Linked DNA regions of Pelodiscus sinensis. The protein of the gene in region 1 purifies or fractionates together with the protein of each later gene. This does not show direct contact. Links are inferred from orthologs where the notes say so. Each region holds a gene or a part of one and is shown in the gene's direction. Other genes may lie near its edges.

What was found.
Region 2: the proteins of LRWD1 (region 1) and ORC5 purify together in Homo sapiens (affinity purification with mass spectrometry; 4 studies listed by BioGRID and IntAct, with this or other methods). This does not show direct contact. The link is inferred for Pelodiscus sinensis from reciprocal best matches to the Homo sapiens genes LRWD1 and ORC5.

What each region holds. Positions count from the first base shown.
Region 1 is NC_134731.1:15,872,222-15,882,405, reverse strand, and holds the start of LRWD1 (leucine-rich repeat and WD repeat-containing protein 1), read left to right. Parts: upstream 1-5,033; 5' UTR 5,034-5,048; coding exon 5,049-5,130; intron 5,131-5,849; coding exon of another isoform or gene 5,850-5,963; exon of another isoform or gene 5,964-6,083; intron 6,084-8,479; exon of another isoform or gene 8,480-8,483; coding exon 8,484-8,625; intron 8,626-10,184. Other genes in the region: alpha-ketoglutarate-dependent dioxygenase alkB homolog 4, read right to left, coding at 168-292, 3,131-3,776, 4,194-4,391, 5,850-5,963. UniProt on the Homo sapiens protein: Required for G1/S transition. Recruits and stabilizes the origin recognition complex (ORC) onto chromatin during G1 to establish pre-replication complex (preRC) and to heterochromatic sites in post-replicated cells.
Region 2 is NC_134711.1:24,344,114-24,354,105, reverse strand, and holds the start of ORC5 (origin recognition complex subunit 5), read left to right. Parts: upstream 1-4,898; 5' UTR 4,899-5,028; intron 5,029-5,063; exon of another isoform or gene 5,064-5,152; intron 5,153-8,475; 5' UTR 8,476-8,557; coding exon 8,558-8,668; intron 8,669-9,992. UniProt on the Homo sapiens protein: Component of the origin recognition complex (ORC) that binds origins of replication. DNA-binding is ATP-dependent. The specific DNA sequences that define origins of replication have not been identified yet.

The sequences.
Region 1 (10,184 bases):
ACAGAACAACATTTATTCTGCACAGGGGTGGGGAAAAATAGAGGGAAGTAATCCCCGCACCCGCCCTCCTGATCTGCAGCCCCCTGGGCGGGTGCCCTCTTCCCAGCTGCCCTTAGACCTGCTATGGCCTCTGCCACATCCCTACCCCCACCGCCCCCGCAGCGCACTCACTCAGCAACAGACCACTCCGACCAGCAGGTGGCGCCGCAGGGCCGGGCAGGGAGCCCCGCTGGCCTCTCCTCTCTACGGCGGGCGCGGGGCGGGGCCTGGCGCGCGGACTCGGAAGTGGGGGGGGGGGGGGGCGCCCAGCCAGGGCGGAGGTGAGGGAGGGGCGGGTTTACTGAAGCCTCAGCGTTCCCCCCCCCGCCCCGATAACGGGTCGCCACGGGGGTCTCGGTGACCCCTTCGCCCAGCCCGAAGCGGCCCCGCGGGGCAGGCCCGGCAGGCAGGGTCTAGAGCTCCCCGCCCGCGCGCGGCTCCGTGTGGCGTGGGGTACGCGCGCGGCGGTGTGTGTGTGTGTGTGTGTTGGGGGGGTTCCCGTGTGTGGGGTGTACACGTGTTTGTCCTTGCGTGGCGGGGATGTGTGTGTGGGGGGGTGCGTACGTGTGGAGGTGGACACGGAGGGGGCGTGTGTGTAGGGCGTGCTCGTGTGTGTGTTGGGAGTGTGGGGCGGGCCCGTGGCTTTCCCAGCCCTGCCAAGGCACGTTTCCCTGGGGGGTGGGCTGCACACACAGAGCAGCCTTCTGCTTCCCAAAGAATATTCGCCTGTCTCAGCAGCTTAGGGGTGGGGGCTCCTGTTCGGTTTCTCCATGACAAGCCCCATTTCTACAGCACTTATGGGGCCCCCCTCACCACAGTGTCTGGGCATCTGCGTATTCCCATCCATGCCTTATTGCAGTGCCCTGGTGACATAGCGAAGCATTATCCTGTCCATAGGCGGAGAAAATATGACAGGGTGGCATAACATCCATGGGAGAGATGGGAGTTGAATAGTGATCTTGGAGTACCAGTCCGGTGTCTGAGCTCTAAACACTAGGGCTGTGTCTAGACTGGCCAGTTTTTCCGGAAAATCAGCCGCTTTTCCGGAAAAATTTGCCAGCTATCTACACTGGCCGCTTGAATTTCTGCAAAAGCACTGACTTCCTACTGTCTGAAATCAGAGCTTCTTGCGGAAATACTGTTCTGCTCCCGTTCAGGCAAAAGTCTCTTTCACACAAAAGGGCCAGTGTAGACAGCTCAGATTTGTTTTGTGCAAAAAAGCCCTGATCGTGAAAATGGCGATCGGGGCTTTTTTGCAGAAAAGCGCGTCTAGATTGGCATGGACGCTTTTCCGCAAGAAGTGCTTTTGCAGAAAAGCGTCCGTGCCAATCTAGACACTCTGTTCAAAAAATGCTTTTAATGGAAAACTTTTCCGTTAAAAGCATTTCCGGAAAATCATGCCAATCTAGACGCAGCCTAGGGCTGTGTCTACACTGGTGCGATCTCACGCAAAAGCGGCAGCTCTTGTGCAAAAACTTGCTGCCTGTCTACACTGGCCGTGTGTTCTTGCGCAAGTAAACTGATGTTCTAATGTATAAAATCAGGGCTTCTTGCGCCAGAACTCTGACGCTCCCGCTCAGGAAGAAGCCCTTTTGCGCAAGAGCTCTTCCAGAAGAGGCCAGTGTAGACAGGTAACATGAATTTCTTGTGCAAGAAAGCCCTATGGTTAAAATGGCCATCAGAGCTTTCTTGTGGAAGAGTATCTACCCTGGCATGGATTCTCTTGCGCAAAAGCACATGCCAGTGTAGACACTCTCTTGTGGAAGAGTTTTTGCACAAGAACTCTTCTGCAAAAGAGTTCTTGTGCAAGAAGCTGCCAGTGTAGCCATAGCCTTCATATTCTGTCCCCCTACTTCACTCACCCACAGGCTGCTTCCATCTTCTTGTAATGCTACAGAATAGCAGACTCATACCTTGATCCTCTGGTTTGCAACAAAAGCAAGCCCTGAAGATGACTGAGGATTCACAGCAAGGATCTATGCAGACTTGGTGCAGCCATGATTATTGTTATTATTTCTGTAGCACTATATTAGACTCATGAAACTGTGTCTACGAGGGGTTTGGGGATGGTCCAGTGGTTAGGATATAAGCCTCAAACTTGGGAAACTATGTTTCTTCTTGCAATACTTCAAACTTCCTGTTTGACATTGGGTTGGTCGCTTAGCTCCTCTTTGCCTCTATTCCCTGTCTTGAAAATTGGAATAATAATAGCTAGCTGTTATCAAGTGCTTGAGATCAGTATATGTCAAAGCACATTACAAAGGAAAAACAATGGAGAGTCCTGTGGTAAATTAGGGTATGTCTACACTACCCCCCTAGTTTGAAGTAGGGGGGTTAATGTAGTCATACGGAGTTGCAAATGAAGCCCGGGATTTGAACTTCCTGGGCTTCATTTGTATGATCCCAGCCGGCACCATTTTTAAATGCCAGCTAGTTCGGACTGCGTGCCGTGCGGCTACACGCGGCACGAATTAGGCTTCCTAATCCAAACTAGCTGTACGCCTCATGGAACGAGTAGGAATAAGAGATCCTCCGGAAAAGGGCTTTTTTCCGGAGGATCGGGGCCAGTGTAGACGCTCTTTTCCGGCTTTTCTAAAAGCCGGAAAAAAGCGGCGGACATTTTTATTTAAATGCCGCGGGGGATATTTAAATCCCCCGCGGATTTCCCTATCACGAAGTGTCAAATTAGCATGCCCCTTTCGGAAAAGGGGCCAGTGTAGACGCAGCCCTTAGGTTTAAGTGATTAAAGTGGTTTGTTTAACTATAATGAAATGCAAAGTAGTAAAGAACAAAAGTATAATAGTCAATTTCTGATTCTCATCCAACAGCTAACACTACAATGTTTGCATTGTGATACTGTCAGGGCAGGCTTATTTTAAAAGCAGCTGCGCTTCTTCAATCTATGGTAATGTTGTAACATTTCCATGAGATCTAATTTTTATATTTTACATAATTTGGTCCTTTAAACAGCCTCCAAATAAGACAGTGATAAACTGCAAAAATTCTGAACTTTATTTTTTAATTATTCAAACAATTCATAATTCCAGGTTTCTCTCTCATGCTTACACTGGTTTTCCTTGAAATGTCAGGGCTATTTCCAGGAGTTCTTTACCCAGTTTTTCCTGCTCTCCTCCCAAAGCGAACTCTGCAGACAGCTCCCTGAAGGTGACACAGACCCGGCGATGCTCTATATGCTTGCGGTATATTGCATGCTTCCACTTATACCGTGCATCTCCAAATAGTACAATCAGGGATCTTCTAGGTAAGTGAATGTCTACAGTAACTTTTTTGTATGGAATAAATCTTGAGGAAAACAAGTAGTTAATATCCCAACTGGCTAAATTTTCACATACTGTTGTGGAAGGAAGGTGGTTTTGTTTGTGGCTCTGGGAAGCTTGAGGTGAGGCAGAGGGATTTGATTCCCCCATTGCTTGCTTGTGATTGGCAACTAACTGGAGACCATCCTCTGATTCACAAGACATGGACAGCACCGTTTTTGAGAGTAAATTTAAGCTAACCAGTCGCTCCCCCCAAAGCCACCAGTCATCAAAGTGTGGGTCAATGGCAGAACCTCTTTCTGGTAGATAGTCCAGGTTACACTGCTCAACAGGAAAGAAGTCTTCTAATGCAGAATGAGCCTTCATTCGCTGTACAATCTCCTGGCTAAAACTGGGCAAGCCAAAGAAGCCACCAGTTTTCAGCTTCTTTTTCTTAAAGTTCACTTTGGGCCCATAGTCCTGTTGAAAAGGAAAAGCAGATGATGATAAATAAAAATGTGGGTTATGCCCTTTTAGAGAGGCACTATCCTCTGGACAAACTGGGGAGCCCTGGGCATCTTGGGTTCTGTTTCTACCTTTGCCAGTGACTTATCAGAAGATGATCTGCACCAGTAAGATAGCCCCATGAAAGTCATAATACTTTTGGATTCAAGTTTTCCTGCTTGTGCACATCAATGTGGTTTGAGATTGTTTCAATGTGCAATATCAAGCGTGATTCACTATAGCTATCACAAATGCACTCTTGAGAGAAATTAATTTCAAATATTTGTTATTTCAGAAAGAATCAATTTAATGAAAACATTAAACCTAAAGCATGATTTTTGTTAAGTGAAGAAATAATCTTCCCCTGAAGGAAACCTATTTCTGGACTCAGACCTGCTTCCTTCGGCCAGATTGTGATAGTTTCCAGTCATCTTGATCCATCAGCTGAACCATTTTATATTCCTCATCTTGGCTTATAAATTCCTCCAGCAAGAACACTCCTGGAAATGGAAATGCCCAGCCAGCAAACTCTGAACATTCATTTCCTACAGCCAGACCTGTTGCTGGACAATAAGTGAAGTTACCTTTTTCCTGCAGAAATAAAAAAGGACACAGCAAAATAAGACATTGCCATTGTATCTGTTGTTATAGGTTAGATACATGTTAAGAGTTGAACAGTTGTACTGTTTCTCTTCAGGGAAATGTCACTCTCCTTTTACAGCTGTATCTCTGCAACTTTCATTCTTTAACAGTAATACCTTTATAGCGCAAGCTGCCACTGGATAAAAAATCACCAAGCTGTGCTTTCTTAAAATACAGTGTATATTTGAGGGGTTATTGCTCCTCTTCCATCCCTCAGTGTTCCGAGTTGTAGCCAACTACACTGGGTGATGGACTTCATGCAAAACCCTCTACAAAACCAACAACACCTCTACTGATGCTACTGGTTAGAGTAACAGAAACCTATGCTTTAAACTGGATCCACGGTCTAGTGCACTAACCAGCAGGCTGCTCTCAAACTATTTTGCATGTCTTTCCTGCCCCTAGCTCTAGTTGAGATGTGAGCAACTGCTACTGGACTGAACGTGGTTTGGCCAACTGGAGTGCTCCAATTGTATAGCTAATGACTTTCTTGATGCCTTTGATACAGGCCTAAAGAGGGAGAGATCCAAATCAGGCTGGAATATCCTGGTGTTAACTCTTTGTCTACACTACAGCTTTTAGCAACGCAGTCCTTTTGGCACGGCCATGTTGGTAGAAGTTGGACACCGTAGCTGCTGCCTGTCAGCACACTTGCAGACAAAATACTTTCACCTCCCAAAAGCAGCGGGTGAGTGTTCCTGCTGACCACGTGCTGTTCACACTGACGCTTGCCATGGCAAATCTTCTGGGGAATGTTAGCATGTGTGAATGGTAAAATTTTGTTGCTCAGGTGCCAGTGTAGGTATCAAAGCAACAGCTACTGACTGGCCTACAGGGGAGGTTGTGGCCCCATCCTCTGCAGGCAGAGGCTCAGTAGCATCCTCCCTGCTCAGGCAGCTCTCAATGTCACTCTCATGCATAAAAGCTTCAGCAGGGTTGCTGAGTTAGTCTGGAACTGGAAAAACTTAAACAAGGAACAGTCCTGCAGCATCTTAAAGGCTAATACCATTTGTGTGTTTTGTTAGCCTTTAAGGCGCTGCAAGACTAGTCCTTAATCTCATGCATCCTAGGCCTGGTGTTGCCTGAAGCTAGCTCCAATACCCTCCCCTCATGCTCTGGAAATGCGGGGGGCTGAGCTTGTGGGGTTTCCTCCGAATGGAAGCAGCCTGTTTAGCAGCCCCCCCAGCCTTTAGCCTCTCTCTCGAGCAAGGGTGGGGGGCAGGCAACAGCCGCCCCCTCTGCCACTCTCTGGTGCCCGAGGGCAGCCAGGGACAAGAGGCACTGTGCCTGCCCGCCCCCCCCTCTCAGCCCGCCCCATCCACTTACACCAACTCACCCCCATCTGCCCCCCCCCGCGCCCCTTTGTCCCATCCCTCGGCGCCCCCTCCCGGTCCCTCCCCCCGCTACCTGCGGGGGCGGAGCGGCCGGCGCGGGCCCCTCGCAGAGCAGGCAGGAGCGGATCCCCTTGCAGCCGCAGGCGGGCCCCGCTCCCCCGCCGCCTCCGGCTCCCCGCGCCTCCATCCCGCGGGGAGAGGCGCCGCTCGGGCCCCGGACCCGGATCGCCGCCCGCCGGGCTGCGCGCCCCCCCGGCTCCGTCGCGGCGGCGGGGCCCAGCGCGGCAGCGCGCGGCCCCGGCGGCAGGTGAGGGGACGGGGCACGCGGGGGGGGAGGGCGCCGCAGGGGAGGGGGAGGGACACCCGGGCTCCACGACCCGGCTCCGGCAGGCTCGGAACCGAGCCGGCCGCCCCCACGCCAAACTCGCTTTCCCAGCAGCCCGCGGGGCGGGCGGCCAAGCCACAGGGCCGAGCTGGACCCCGGGGGGTGCTGGGAGTTGTAGTTCTCGCCCTTTTCCGGCCTTAGCTGTCCGCCCGCCCCAGCCTGGCACACGGGCTCTCCTCCCCTCCCCCACTCACCACGGGCAGGACTGGCCTGGGCCATGAGGCTCTTCCCCCTCCCCCCACGGGCAAAGCTGCATGGGCCATGGGCTCCCCCCCCCCCGCTCCCTGTCAGGGCCGGCATGGGCCATGGGGCACTGCGCCCCACCTCCCCTCCACTAGCAAGGCCGGCCTGGGCCGTGAGGGTCTGCGGCCCCTCCCCCTCCCGGCCAGGGTCCCGAGCCAGAGCTGGCCTGGGACATGGGGGTGCTGGCCCCTCCACCCCCCTCCCCTGTTTCAGGCAGGGTTCTGAATCGGGACTGAGCTGGGACGTGGGGACATGCCCATGGCGGCTCTGCACCCCCAGACCTACCCTGGACCCGACCAGAACACAACACGGTCACAAACGCATTTGTTAACGTGGCCTGGTCTGCAGCTGGACCAGAACACAAGGACCCAGCTGCGGCCATATGTCACAGAGCTCGGCGCCCTATCTGGGCCAGAACATGCTGGTGCCACATCTCGCTGGAACTGGATCTGGACACAGCGACGTAGCCCTGAGCTGGAACTGAATAACCGGAACTGAACTGGAAGAGGAGGGCTTGATCACTGCCCCTGACATGGCCATGCAAATCCACAGCAGACCTGGACCAGGCCACTGTCACCCAGTCACAGCCCTGCAACTGCTAACACAGCAGCATAGTCCCTTGCGGTCACTGGACCGGACCGTGGCAGCCTGATCACAGCCACAGAACCCCTAGCACAGCAGTGTTGCTCTGAGCTGGAAATGGAGTGGCACAGGGTGGCTAGGCCACAGCCCCATGGAGTGGTAATCTAATCCCACCTCAGAACTGGATCGAAACAGGGTGACTCAGTCACAACCACGTGACCTCTCCCTGGTAATGCAATCTCCATCCAGACTTGTATTGGAACACCGCGATAGAATCGTGGTGACCTAGTCACAGTCATACAACCCATAGTAAGGCAACACAACCTGCACTAGAACTGAACCAGAACACCCTAACCCGGTCACAACCACATGGCAACTCAACCCTTTGCTGGACTGGACCTGGCACTGGACCAGGTCTCAGTCACACAGTCACAGCCATGCCACCCGTAACATGAGAACACAATCCTGCATTGGAACTGGACCGGATCATGGTGATGCGACCATAGCTAGGAACCCATCATGGGGCAATGCTGTTTTGAACCAGAACTGTATCAGAGCAGGATGTTGCAGTTACAGCTTCCCATGAACCTGTCACATGGCAATGCAGCTCTGTGCTAAAACAGTGACAGCCTCTCAGACTTGGCCTGTAACATACCAATGCAGTGTTGTCCTGAGTCAGAACTGAACCAGTCACAGTCACTTGGCCCATAATGTAGCAACACAGTCTTGATTAGAACATGATGTTGGGGACACGGTGCCATGGCCGCCGCTTCCAGCCCCACATGGGGCTGCCAGCTCCCAGCCTGTGTGGAGGTCTGGCGGACCTGGAGCAGCCCTCTGCCTGCAGTGGGCTGTGATCAGGGGCCTGCTCCCTGTGGTATGAGTTAACCGTTACCCGATAAGCATCACCTGATAAGAGCGATGCTTACTGGGTAACCAGTTACCGAATAATATCCCTACTCGTGACCACACAGACCCCCGATGGGCCACATTTGGCTGCTGAGCCAAGGTTGCCCACCACTGAGCTAGTTTGATTAGTTTTGCAATATTTTAGGAATTTAAGGATTGCCAGCCTGGATCCAGCTAGCGGTCTTTGTAGTCTGGTATCCGATCCAGTGGCCAGTAAAATTTCAGAGGAAGAAACCTTGCAGCAGGCAGATATTGTTTATGACTTGCATAGCAACTAAGAGCTCTGGTCATGCACAGAACTAAGAGGTGGTCCCTGTGCCAGTTTGCAATGTAGGATACAACTGACCCACAGTATCACGAGTGGTTTTATTACTAGCATTGTGACAGTCGGGGCAGGTGATGTGAAATGTATGTCCAGTTTGGTAAATGTTTATGATTGTTTTGCAAGGCTGGATTATTAAATTACCTAATAAACGTCTGATTTATCAACAAAAAAAGGAGTAGTTGCACCATCACCTTTTCTTTCATTCTTGTTGAGAAAAAGTTTTACAGGACTCCTCCTAATTCTTGTTTCTTTCACCAAGAAAGTTCCTGGAAGACATTTTACCGCTGTCAGCTTTGTGCTCCCAGGAAAGTGGCAGAAACTAACCATGTCCAAAGTTACTACAGAGCTTCTTTTGGAAAGAGCGGTTCCAAGATCTACTAGGCTCCGGAAGATTGAGACTCTGAAGTAAGTGCAAACCAGACTCTGAATAAAATTCCAGTTGAATCCCACTTGGGCTTGCTTTCTTTAGATAGGAAAATGAAACAACACACATGTCCATTATAAAAACACATGGGGTACGTCTAAACTACATGCCTCCGTCGACGGAGGCATGTAGATTAGCCAGATCGGCAGAGGGAAATGAAGCCGCGATTAAAATAATCGCGGCTTCATTTAAATTTAAATGGCTGCCCCGCTCTGCCGATCAGCTGTTTGTCAGCAGATCGGGGCAGTCTGGACGCGACGTGCCGACAAGGAAGCCTTTCTTGATCGGCACAGGTAAACCTGGTTTCACGAGGCATACCTGTGCCGATCAAGAAAGGCTTCTTTGTCGGCGCGGCGCGTCCAGACTGCCCCGATCTGCCGACAAACAGCTGATCGGCAGAGCGGGGCAGCCATTTAAATTTAAATGAAGCCGCGATTATTTTAATCGCGGCTTCATTTCCCTCTGCCGATCTGGCTAATCTACATGCCTCCGTCGACGGAGGCATGTAGTTTAGACGTACCCTTGGTGGTGTGATGGGGCTTTATCACCATTACAGGGTTGAATAGGCAAGAATTAGAAAGTCAGATTATCTGCAGGTGTAAGATCTTTGCCATCATGTATATTCTGCATATGCCATATGTGTTACTGCAAAACTATTAGGGAGCTGGCTTCTCATCTCCTTACATTAAGTAGCACTTTCCTACTTTGTCCTTAATGGGACCCATTCATGGAGTAAGGTACTGTGACTAAGCAGATCTGAATCCAGTTGATGGGGGCAGCAGAGCCTACAGCCAGCAGGGTAGGGAAGCCGACTGGGGCCAGAGCTTGTGGGGCAGTGGAGCCCACAGACGGCAGAACTGCTAGGAACTCCAGTGGGATGGCATGGCTGCTGCAAGGTTGGCAGGGCCAGCAGGAGCTCCGGAAGGGCGGTGGGGCTGGCGTGAGGTCGGCAGGAGCTCTGGAAGGGCTGCTGCAGTTTGCGGGGCTAAGAGGCTGGGGAGAGGAGCCCAGGTGGCCGGGGAGAGAAACTCAGTAGGGAGGCTAGTACTTCCCCCGCCCCCGGCCTTCCTTTGTCTGGAAAACTCCCTTGTCTGGGATTGGTCAGGTCCCAAGGAAGCTGGACCGGGGAGGTCCAACCTGTCCCTTAAGTTTAACTGTACTGGCCTTGTAGGTAGAGACTCTTTGGAAGCCTCTAAAAATTCTCATTGTGCAGTTGCTATCATAACCAGGGTGTACAAAAAATATTTTAAAATGTCTAAAGTAGCTTTTTCATGGCAATGTAGGACAGGAAGGCACCTCTTGGGTGGTTCAGCCCAGTCTTGTGCTGTTGCAGGCAGCCAAACAGTGTCATGCTTTTACAGAATGTTATTTCATCAGCGGTCAGACTGAGAAAAAATCCTGTATTGACATTCTTCCAAGGCCGGCCCACAAATCCAACGCTACCCAGCCATGAAGCCAAAATGAGAAGCTAGTTGTAGCAGATCACTGTTATATTCTATGATGTTGGGGGATCACCCCAAACACTATGGCTGTGTCTACA
Region 2 (9,992 bases), on another chromosome or scaffold:
GGCAGTCTAAGAAGGATCTAGCAACAGTCTATACAAAAGGATCTAGGGGTCATAGTTGATCACAAGCTAAATATGAGTCAACAGTGAAATACTGTTGCAAAAAAAGCAAACATGATGCTGGGATGCATTAACAGGAGTGTTGTGAGCAAGACATGAGAAGTGATTCTTCCACTCTACTCTGCACTGATTAGGCCTCAATTGTAGTATTATGTTCAGTTCTGGGCTCCATATTTCAAGAAAGATGCGGAGAAACTGGAGAAGTTCCAGAAAAGAGCAAAAAAAAAAAAAAAGAATAAAGATCTAGAAAACATGACTTATGAGGAAGACTGAAATAATTGGAAATGCATAGTTTGGAAAAGAGAAGACTGAGAGGAGACATGAGAGCAGTTTTCAAGTACCTAAAAGGGTGTTACAAAGGGGAGAGAGAAAAAATTTTCTCCTTGTTCTCCGATGATAGGACAAGAAGCAATGGACTTAAATTGCAGCAAGGGAGGTTTACGTTAGACATTAGGAAAAGCTTTCTGTCAGGGTTGTTAAACACTGGAATAAATTGCCTAGGGAGGTTATGAAATCTCCATCACTGGAGATATTTAAGAACAGGTTAAATATCTATCAGGGATGATCTATTCTCCACAGTACTTGGCCCTGCCATGAGGGCAGGGGACTGGACTTGATCTCTTGAGGTCCCTTTCAGTTCTAGCACTCTATGAACTGTATGGCTACATCTACATTGGCAAGATTTTGCGCAAATACTTTTAACGCAAGAGTTTTTACGTTAAAGTATTTGTGCAAGAGAGCGTCTACACTGGCATGTGCCTTTGCGCAAGACACGTGCTTTTGCGCAAGAGCGTCCGTGCCAGTGTAGCCATCGGGCTTTCTTGCGCAAGAAATTCATGTTGCCGGTCTACACTGGCCTCTTGCGCAAGAACAGTTGAGCAAGAGGGCTTATTCCTGAGCGGGAGCATCATAGTTCTTGTGCGAGAAGCACTGATTTCACACATTAGAACATCAGTGTTCTTGCGCAAGAACTCCCCGCCAGTGTAGACAGGCAGCAAAATCATGCCAATGTGTAGACAGCCTAGGAGTGGGCTACTGAGAATGACTGAACTGCCAGACCTCACCACTAGGCAGCAAACACCGGTGGCACTCTTTTGAAGCTTTGCCATCTGTATTTTCATGCACAGCTGTGTTTACAATGTGAAATAAACAATAACTCAGTTTCTGACATGGCAATGATGCACTGTTTTACACATATAATATTGGATATTTTGGTTTATGAGAGTGTGATGGACCATCAACCCATGCTTTATGAAATGGACTTCTGGACATAAATATATTTTACTCATAGATGCTTTGAACAAATTATTTCATGTAACCTATCAACCTTCATGTCAAAATCCGCTGGTTCTGTTTATTTTGGTGTATGTATCACTCTTGTGTGTGAAATTAGACACATGGAGTAGAGACTATTTTGTTTTTAAAATATGTAGATGGAAAGGCATCAAGTGGGGCCTCAGTGTCTGGGCAATCATATGCTATTGCCTTTTGTCCTTAAGGCTTAGTAGTGATAGTTGGGAGGGACCAGATGACTCCCCATACAATAAGGGTGTGTCTAGACTGGCATGATTTTGCGGAAATACTTTTAACAGAAAAGTTTTTCCGTTAAAAGTACTTCCGCAAAAGCGCGTCTAGATTGGCACGGATGCTTTTGCGCAAAAGCACCCATGGCCAGTCTATACACGATTTTGCGCAAGAAAGCCCCGATCGCCATTTTAGCCATCGGGGCTTTTTTGCGCAAAACAGTTCTTCCCTGTCTACACTGGCCCTCTTGCACAAGTATTCTTGCGCAAGAGGGCTTTTTCCCGAGCGGGAGCATGAAAGTATTTGCGCAAGAAGCACTGATTTTGTACATTACAAAGTCAGTGCTCTTGTGCAAATTCAAGCTGCCAGTGTAGATAGCTGGCAAGTTTTTGCACAAAAACAGCCGCTGTTGCGCAAAATCTTGCCAGTCTAGACGCACCCTAAGGGAATTCTTTAAAAAGAATAGACAAAGAGGAGTCTAGGTCTTTGGGCTGGCTCGACACACCCAGGGAGGATGAACCAGAGACCCTAGGCAAAGTGGAAATGTCCTGGTTTTGAAGGTGCACCTGGAACAGAAACAGTTTTAAGGTGAGTTTATAGTAAGTTTGTGCTGAGGATTTTTGTGTCAGAATTAGCTAAGCGCCTGTTACTTTTGAGTTTGTAATCTTTTTTGCGCTGACTATTCTCACTTATAACCACTTAAATCCTATTGCTTGTACTTAATAAAATCACTTTTGCTTACTATCAAGCCCAGTGTAAACAATTATTACCTGGGGGAGCAATCAATGTGCACATTCCCCCTTTCATTGTTAAAGGGGGCTCACCCAAGTAATTAATTGGGGATTTGATCCCATTTGGGGGAGTGGTATCCCAGGAAGCTGGGCCCCAAACTGCACTCTCCTTGGACCTGAATAGGTTCAGTGTTGGTACTGCTTCATGGGGGGGTGAGGGGTAGTAGGGATATGAGCTCAGGGCCTTGGCTGGGGGAAGAAAAGTGGAGCTAGCCTAGCAGCACCAGGCAGTGAAAAGCCCCAGAGAGTAGGTAGGTGAGTGGCAGTGGCCATGTCAGTACTCTGGGGGGCACACCCAAGGGGTCTTCCGTGACCTTACCCCGTCACAGAGACAACTTTGTGTGACGGACCGGGCCATGTCTGGGCACAGCTGAGGGCGTCTGCTCAGGGCGAATTGCTCAAATCCGGGGCTCCTTACAGCCCCCAGACTTGTGACCTCTCCATACAGGCCACAAACCAGTCCCACAGAACGCTTCAGCAGCCTGCCTGAAGCCTCACAAGCAAAACTCCTCCGACACCCCAGCAATAACCATGCCCCAGATGGCCCCGGACCTCATACACAGCTGGGGGGTCCTAGCACCCAATCCCACCTACCCCGAACAAGTTCTGTCCGGTTCCAAGAAATCAGCCACAGATCTCTGGCCAATTTATCCTTTGGACCTTACCCACAAATCACACTGGGCCAATCCTTTAGCATCTAACAACTAAAGGTTTATTAACATAAGAAAGAAAAGCATGAGAGTAAGGTTATTAAAGTACAGTACATTACATGCACCGAATCTCCCAGTTCTCGATGCAGGCTCTAGCAGAGATGTTGCAGCTGCTGGTTTAAAAGTTCTTATTGCACATCCTAAGATCAGGATGGGTTCACAGGTCTTCCGGGCTCTTCGATCCCTGCAGTGCTGCCTCTGGGATGAAGTGCTGAGCTGAGAACAAAATGGCATCGACCACATGGCCTCTTTATACCTCCTTCCTGGCCTCTTCTGGTATGCAGCAGGTCACCTGGTCCTCAGCCTCTCTGTGTTCCCTGCTGGCTGCTCTCAGGTGACAGCCCCCATTCTTTGGGTGTGTCTTTGGCCCATTGAGAGCCATTGTTCCACAGGTAATTAGCATGTCCACAGGCTCCACAGGCTCGGCCCTGCCCAATGCTTAACCACATGCAGGGAAATCTTCAGTGTCCACACAAGTACATGTTAATAATTGCACACACAGACATTATACAAACACATGAACAGCGTACATAGGATTATCAGATATTCAATACCTCACATGGCCCCCTTCTATACCATTTTTGGGGCCAACACCCCCACCTATGGGTGCATCAGTGATCTGGCTGCTCCCCTCAAGATCCAGCAATGTGACACTTTGTTTAAAGGGAAAAAAAATCACTGCCATCTAGTTTAGCAATCCTTAAAGCCTGGTGCCCTAAGTGACCACCTAGATCAGGCCTGGGAAAAATACGGCCAATCCCACCAGATCCAGCTCACAGAGGCACCAGGGAGACCTAGGCAGCTCCCCTGCTTGCCCAGCAGGCTGTTCAGAAATGTGGCTATTTGACCCTCTTTTCCTTGCAAAACTGTAATCTTGGAAGGAGGGAGGGGTGAGCTTCAGGCAGTGCCCCTGCCCCCAGCACAATCCCATTGGCTGGTTTCTGGCCAGAAACTGGCCAATGAGAGCAGCCTGTCTGAATAACAGGCAGCCAGGAAGCACCACCCCCCTTCCCCTCCAGCTGTTATTCACAGAAACACATGGCTAGGTGCAAGCTGGCTGACAGAGAAACATTTTAAGATCCGCAGGAAGGCAGATTTGGCTGCTGGCTTGTGAGTTTCCTGGCCAGAGCCTGCCTCTAGCACCCCAGCCCCTCCCTTTGCCAACCCTCTCTCCCAGATCTGCCCCCCCCCAATCTCCTGCACCAGATCATAATCCACTCCTACCCTAGGTCACATCCTAAAACCTTGCATCCCAGTCCCCTCCATTAGGTCACAACCACCTCCTTTACGCATTCTCACTCCTGCACCCCAAGCCCTTACCCCAAGCTCCCTTCTGCACCCAGCCTCCATCCCAGACCTTGCACCTCTTCCATTAATATCATGGAAGAGCGAGGCCCTTGACTACTTTTTCCAAAATCTTGGAGTGGCCTCGTCAAAAATTACTGCCCACCCCTGGCCTAGATAGTCAGGTGAGCCCTGTCCCCAGGCTCCTCCTTGTCTTCTGCCATCCTACTGCTCCTCTTCTCTCTGGAGCCCAACATCCACTGCCCTCGGGCTCTGGGAGAGGGGGGAAGGGGCCCTTTAAAGCACCGCTGGAACCCCCGGCAGCGCTGAGGGTGGGGGCGTTCCATGGTTGGGGCGGCTCTTCCACGATAGCGACCTTCCCCTCCCCCCAATTGCTCAGGGCCCAGCGAGGCTGTCGGCTCCCCCATTGCTCTTGTTCAACCCTAAGCCACACAAATTTCTGGCTTTACGCTTGGGAGCGGGCGCAGTATGGGCGTGGTTACCAGGGGAAACTTCAATTTCCTAACGCGCATGTGCAGAGTTGGCGCTTGCGCATTCGGGAGGGAGGGGGGTAACCATCGGAGCAATGTGCGCATGCGCAAAGGCGGGCGCTCGGTTCGGAGTCCTCGCCCGCGAAAGCAGCGTGACCGTTGGGGTTCGGGGTGAGTGTCCGGTTCTGTGTGTTGGCGGACGTTTGCGGGAGGCGGGGGGAGAAGGGAGAATGCGCGCGCGTCTTGCCTAGGCTCGCGCGCTGTGAGAAGAGCTGCGGTGCTGCCAGGGCTCTGGGTCAGCGGAGGGCCTGAGCGGCGGACAGAGTCAGGGTTGCCCCAACACGGCAGGACCTGGAGGGAGGGAGGGAGGGAGGGAGGAGTTGCGGCGCGCTGGGCACGGGGTGTGGGTTGCCCAAGCCGGGGCTGTCCGCTTCAGGGGGGTGCCGCTGCCTGTTGGGTTAAAGTGTGGGCGGAGCTGGGGTCTGTTTTCATGTCTACTCCGCCTCTTCACACCCGCAGCATTAGGCGTGGGTCTGGGCGGCGTTGCTCTGTGTGTGTGGGGGGTGGTTGTGGTGGCAATGGCCGCAGCGATCCCCCCTCCCCCGCCCTGACAATCACAGGGTGCTGGCTGGAGCAGGGGTGCAGGAGTGAATTGCCTCCCCAGAGACTGAGGGGGTTATTGCATGGGTGCTAGTGGGAAAGTAACCACCATGTTCGAAGCTTGCAGCAAAGTCTTGAGCTGCAGGGTCAGTTGTCTGATGAGTCCTGGGTTTTTAGTGGCATATAGTAAAGTGCCTTTAGGAGGTGGCACAATGAGGTGATTGTATTGTCCTGGTGCACTATTGTGATGTCATGATATAGCCATGCAAATGAAGGGTGGATCTCTCTGGTCTGCTACCCTCGGGACCTGACCAGTCCTGGATGAGGGGTTTTGCTGGACCAGCCTCCTGGCAGTATTCCTCTTGCCACCAGCCTCGCTGGTCCCAACACCTCCTTCCTTTCCTACTATGATGGTCAGCCCAGCTCCCTGTGTGCTGGGCTCCTGGCCCCATTGGGCAGCCCTGCTGTGGCACTCTGGGCTTCCAGCTCTGCTGGGTTGTGCCTGGCTGTCCAGATGCAGGGCACCAAGCAGCCCACCTGTGGGGAACCCAGCTGTCAGCCCTCCACCGGGACTCTCAGGTACAGGAATATCTGTGGTCCTGCTGGACAACGGATATTGCCGGACCAGGGAATCCCAGATTACAGAGGTTCGACTTATAGCATGGTGTCAAGATGCAGTTTCACACATTTTAATGGTAGAAAAATGGGAGGTAAACCTTGAGAGTCAAGACGGCTTGGTTTCCCGTTTCCCATTTCCCAGTGCAGAAACAGGGATGCTGCGTGCTCTCCTTTCATTGCTCATAAAAAGGATTTGCCTCGTGGGTATTTTAATGTTTGTAAAGCTCTTAGTGTATCATCTTTACATTGATAAATCATAGATCCTCCTCTCAGCTAATGAGGTATCTTGCTTCATCCAGTCCTATGTCAGGTTGTTTCTTCTTAGTCATTATTTTAAACTAAACATGGCCAAAACCTGAGATTTTTAACCTTTCCTCACAGGTTCTCTCACCTGGCCATCTTCTTTTATCAGCATAGACAACACTGCTGTTCTCCCTGTCACTCAGGCAGTGTAGTTTAGGTGTGATCTTTGATGGGGCCACTATGTTTTTAATCTTGCCTTTTTTTTAACACTGATCTTGAAAATCTAGCCTTTTGTCTCTTTTCTCTGCTCAGTGAAGACTCTCATCATAGTCCTCATGTTGACCTGATTGCTGCAACTTTTGCTTGCCTTGAGTCTATTCAAATTAAAGACCGCATTTCTGGTTCATCATTCTGATCATGTTAATTCCTAGTTTGCGTTGTCAATTGGCTCCCCCTTAATTTTGACACCAAATAAAAGCTTCTTGTAGTGCCTTTAAAGCAGGGGTCGGCAACCTTTTCAAACCAAACAGCCAAACTGTCTCAAAATTCTAAACAAATGATCATCAAAGAGCCGGATAAGAATGCCCATTTGCATAACAGAAAATATACAATTTAATATTATTAATAATTGACATAATGATTAATAGCATAAATGAAACCTTGTGCTCATGGACTTTATTTAATGGGACTTCCGTTGCTGCATTTTTTTGCACATTTCTTTGAAGTTTACATCATAACTGGTCAAATCCAGCTTTATGAACGCATTCAGGCTGTCTTTTGTCAATCTTATGGCGGGGGCTGGGGATGTGGTCGTGCAGGAGTCTTGGTGCAAGTGCATGAGGGACTCAGGGCAGAGGATTTGGGTGTATGATGGACTCAGTGCAAGGTTGGGTTGTGGGGGCATGCAGGACACAAGGTTGGGTTCTGTGGGGGAATGGGCTGAGGACAGGCTTACTGGTCGGGGGCAGGAGTGGGCTAGGGGCAGGGTATCTAGCTGGGAGGGGGGCTGAGTGAGGGGAAGTTTGGGGTTTGGGCATGAGGGTTGGGGGGCACTATGTGCTTTCACATTGAGTGTAACATAGCCCCCCCGCTGCTCCCATGTGCTGGAAGGAAGTCTTTAGACAGGATTCACAGGTGAAGCCTGCATGAAGTGCTTCCTAAGGGAAAGAGAATGGCACACAGCCGTTGGTTCCGCACCGGGGGGGAAGGATGGTGCATGGAGCCATTTTTCATTCTGTCTGTTCCCCACATGCAAGATCCGAAAGGGAGGCTCAGGGCTTTCCCTCCTCACTCCTTTCCCCCCACAGGAAGCTGGTGCTGGCGTTCCAGTCTTGTAGGGGTCATAAGGCTGTAGCGCCAGCTCTGGCTCAGTGCTGCTGCAGGAGCTGGGAGGCGGCTGAGTAGGGTCTCCAAAAGAGTCATATCTGGCTCCCTAGTGAGCCATATTTGGCTCGCAAGCCATGGGTTGCTGACCCCTGCTTTAAAGTCGTCTCTTAACTTAGCTCCTCCTATCTAACTGATTTAGTAACCTATTATGTCAGCCTATTATGATGTTTTTACTCTGCTAGTGCTTGCTCCCATCCTTTATCACCCATTAGTTAGCTGCTTGTTAAAAACCTCTGTGCTTTCGCCTATGCTGTCCCTGATGCTCAACATAACATATGAAGAATCACTTCTTTATCTTCTTTTTGAAACCTGGTTTTTGCTGTGATGTTTACTAATCTCAGCTTGTTAATTGTGGCTAAGCAGATGACCAGCTGAGACTATTCTCCTTTTCTTTCTCTACTCTTTTTCTTTGCACCTTTACTCTCAAAAAGTAAAGTTAAAACAAACAAACCTGCATCCATGTAACTAGCAAAGTCATGACCGCTGTTCACCATGTTCATTGCTCATTTGTTGCATCCACAACTTCTCCTTTTTGTTTGTCTTAAAATTGTAAACCCTTTAGGGCAGTTATTGTCTCTTTTGCTTTTATTTCCTTATAAGGCTAGCATTACTGGGTCCCAGTGCTGAATGAGGTCTTTGCGTTTTTCCATCATATTAATAGTCGTCATTCCTGTTAGGTAAAAAGTCTGATTATAATGAAAGATTGTCACCTCTTATTTATTTTTACTTCATTTCTCCGTATATGAACAAATACAACATTTTATTTTCCAGATCATCACTTCGGTCTTATTTTCCTATTGGAAGGTGACATACATATACAGTTAGCTGACTGGTGACAGAAACGTGAATCAAAATGCCTAATTTTGAACATCCAGAGTATCCAGAGGCTACCTTACTTCACTTGGAAAGTATGGTGCCCTGTCGAGAATCCCAGGTGTCATCACTGTTATCAGTATTTGGCAAGGTAACTCTTTCTGTATTGTGCCTTTGAGTAGATCAGACGTTGTACCATAATTTTTTTTGTTATGGGTGGGTTGGTAACAGACTTCAGTGCATTGTTATTCTGAGTTAGCCTAGCTGATTATATTTGTAATTTGAGATCTTATATTATGCATCTTTTGTATCAGTCTTCTCTAGTATGTGTCTAATAAACTTTAAAACATTAGCTGTCCTAAGCAAGCAGAAGCTTTATAGCAAATTTTTTCCTGTGGGCTGCTATTAGTTGGCTCTCCACTGCTAGTCATGTTTGGCTGCTGCAAGGTAGTGATAGGAAAGATCCTTGCTCTTCTCACAGTTCTGCTTTTCTTGGGTGGCCTTCTCGTGTGGATAACTCTAGTACTTGTCTGCTGTTGTGTAAGTGATTTCCCAACAGAAACAACATGAAACATGAATCTTGATAGCTTGTTGCTGCCCATAAGACTCTGAGATAGTGTCTGTAAAACTGATCACAGGCTCAGCCTCCTAGGGTATGTCTAGACTACGTTGTTTTTTCGAAAAACTTCACCTGCGTCCACACTGCAATCACATTCTTTTGAAATTAAATCAAAAGAACACAGGGTTTTTTTCGACATGGTAAACCTCAAATTACGAGGAAGAATGCCTTTTTTGAAAGAGCTCTTTCCAAAAAGGGTGTGTGTGGATGCAGAACAAGGACATTTTTTTGAAAGAAGCTGCCAACGAAAAAAGCACAGGTGCCCTGGTGGCCTTTCTGTGAATAGCAGTCAGGGCTTTCTTTTGAGAGACCATCCATGCAGTCTGGATGCTCACTTTCGAATAAGCAGATTGCTTTTTTGATCTAGTTTTGAGGTGTGGATGCTCTCTTTCGAAAGAGCTCTGTCGAAAAAGCTTATTTCAAAAGAAGCTGTCAGTCTAGATGTACCCCTATTGTGGGGCTGTGGCCCTGTGCAACTGTGGGGCTGGGGCTCCAGCCTGAGCCCGACACTGTCCCCAGCTGCCAACCATGATGCCTTGCACACCTATCCTTCCTGCCCTTAGACTCCCAGGTTCTCTGGTCCAGGGGCATCCGTGGTCCTTGACAGATCACAGATGTTGGCTGGATCAGAGAGTGCCAGTTTTTAGAGGTACAACCTGTACTGAACAGATACTACTGTATTAGGTAAACAATCGTAGTTTTATGTATGAGGGATGAGAAGATTTGCCTCCCCACTGATTTTCTCTGTTCTTCTGTCTACTCTCCTGTTCCAATATCTTCTGTTCTAGCCATGTGGTATCTTATGTAGTATATATTATATAGTGATGCTTTTTTGTTTTGGTCTGTAGACAGACAC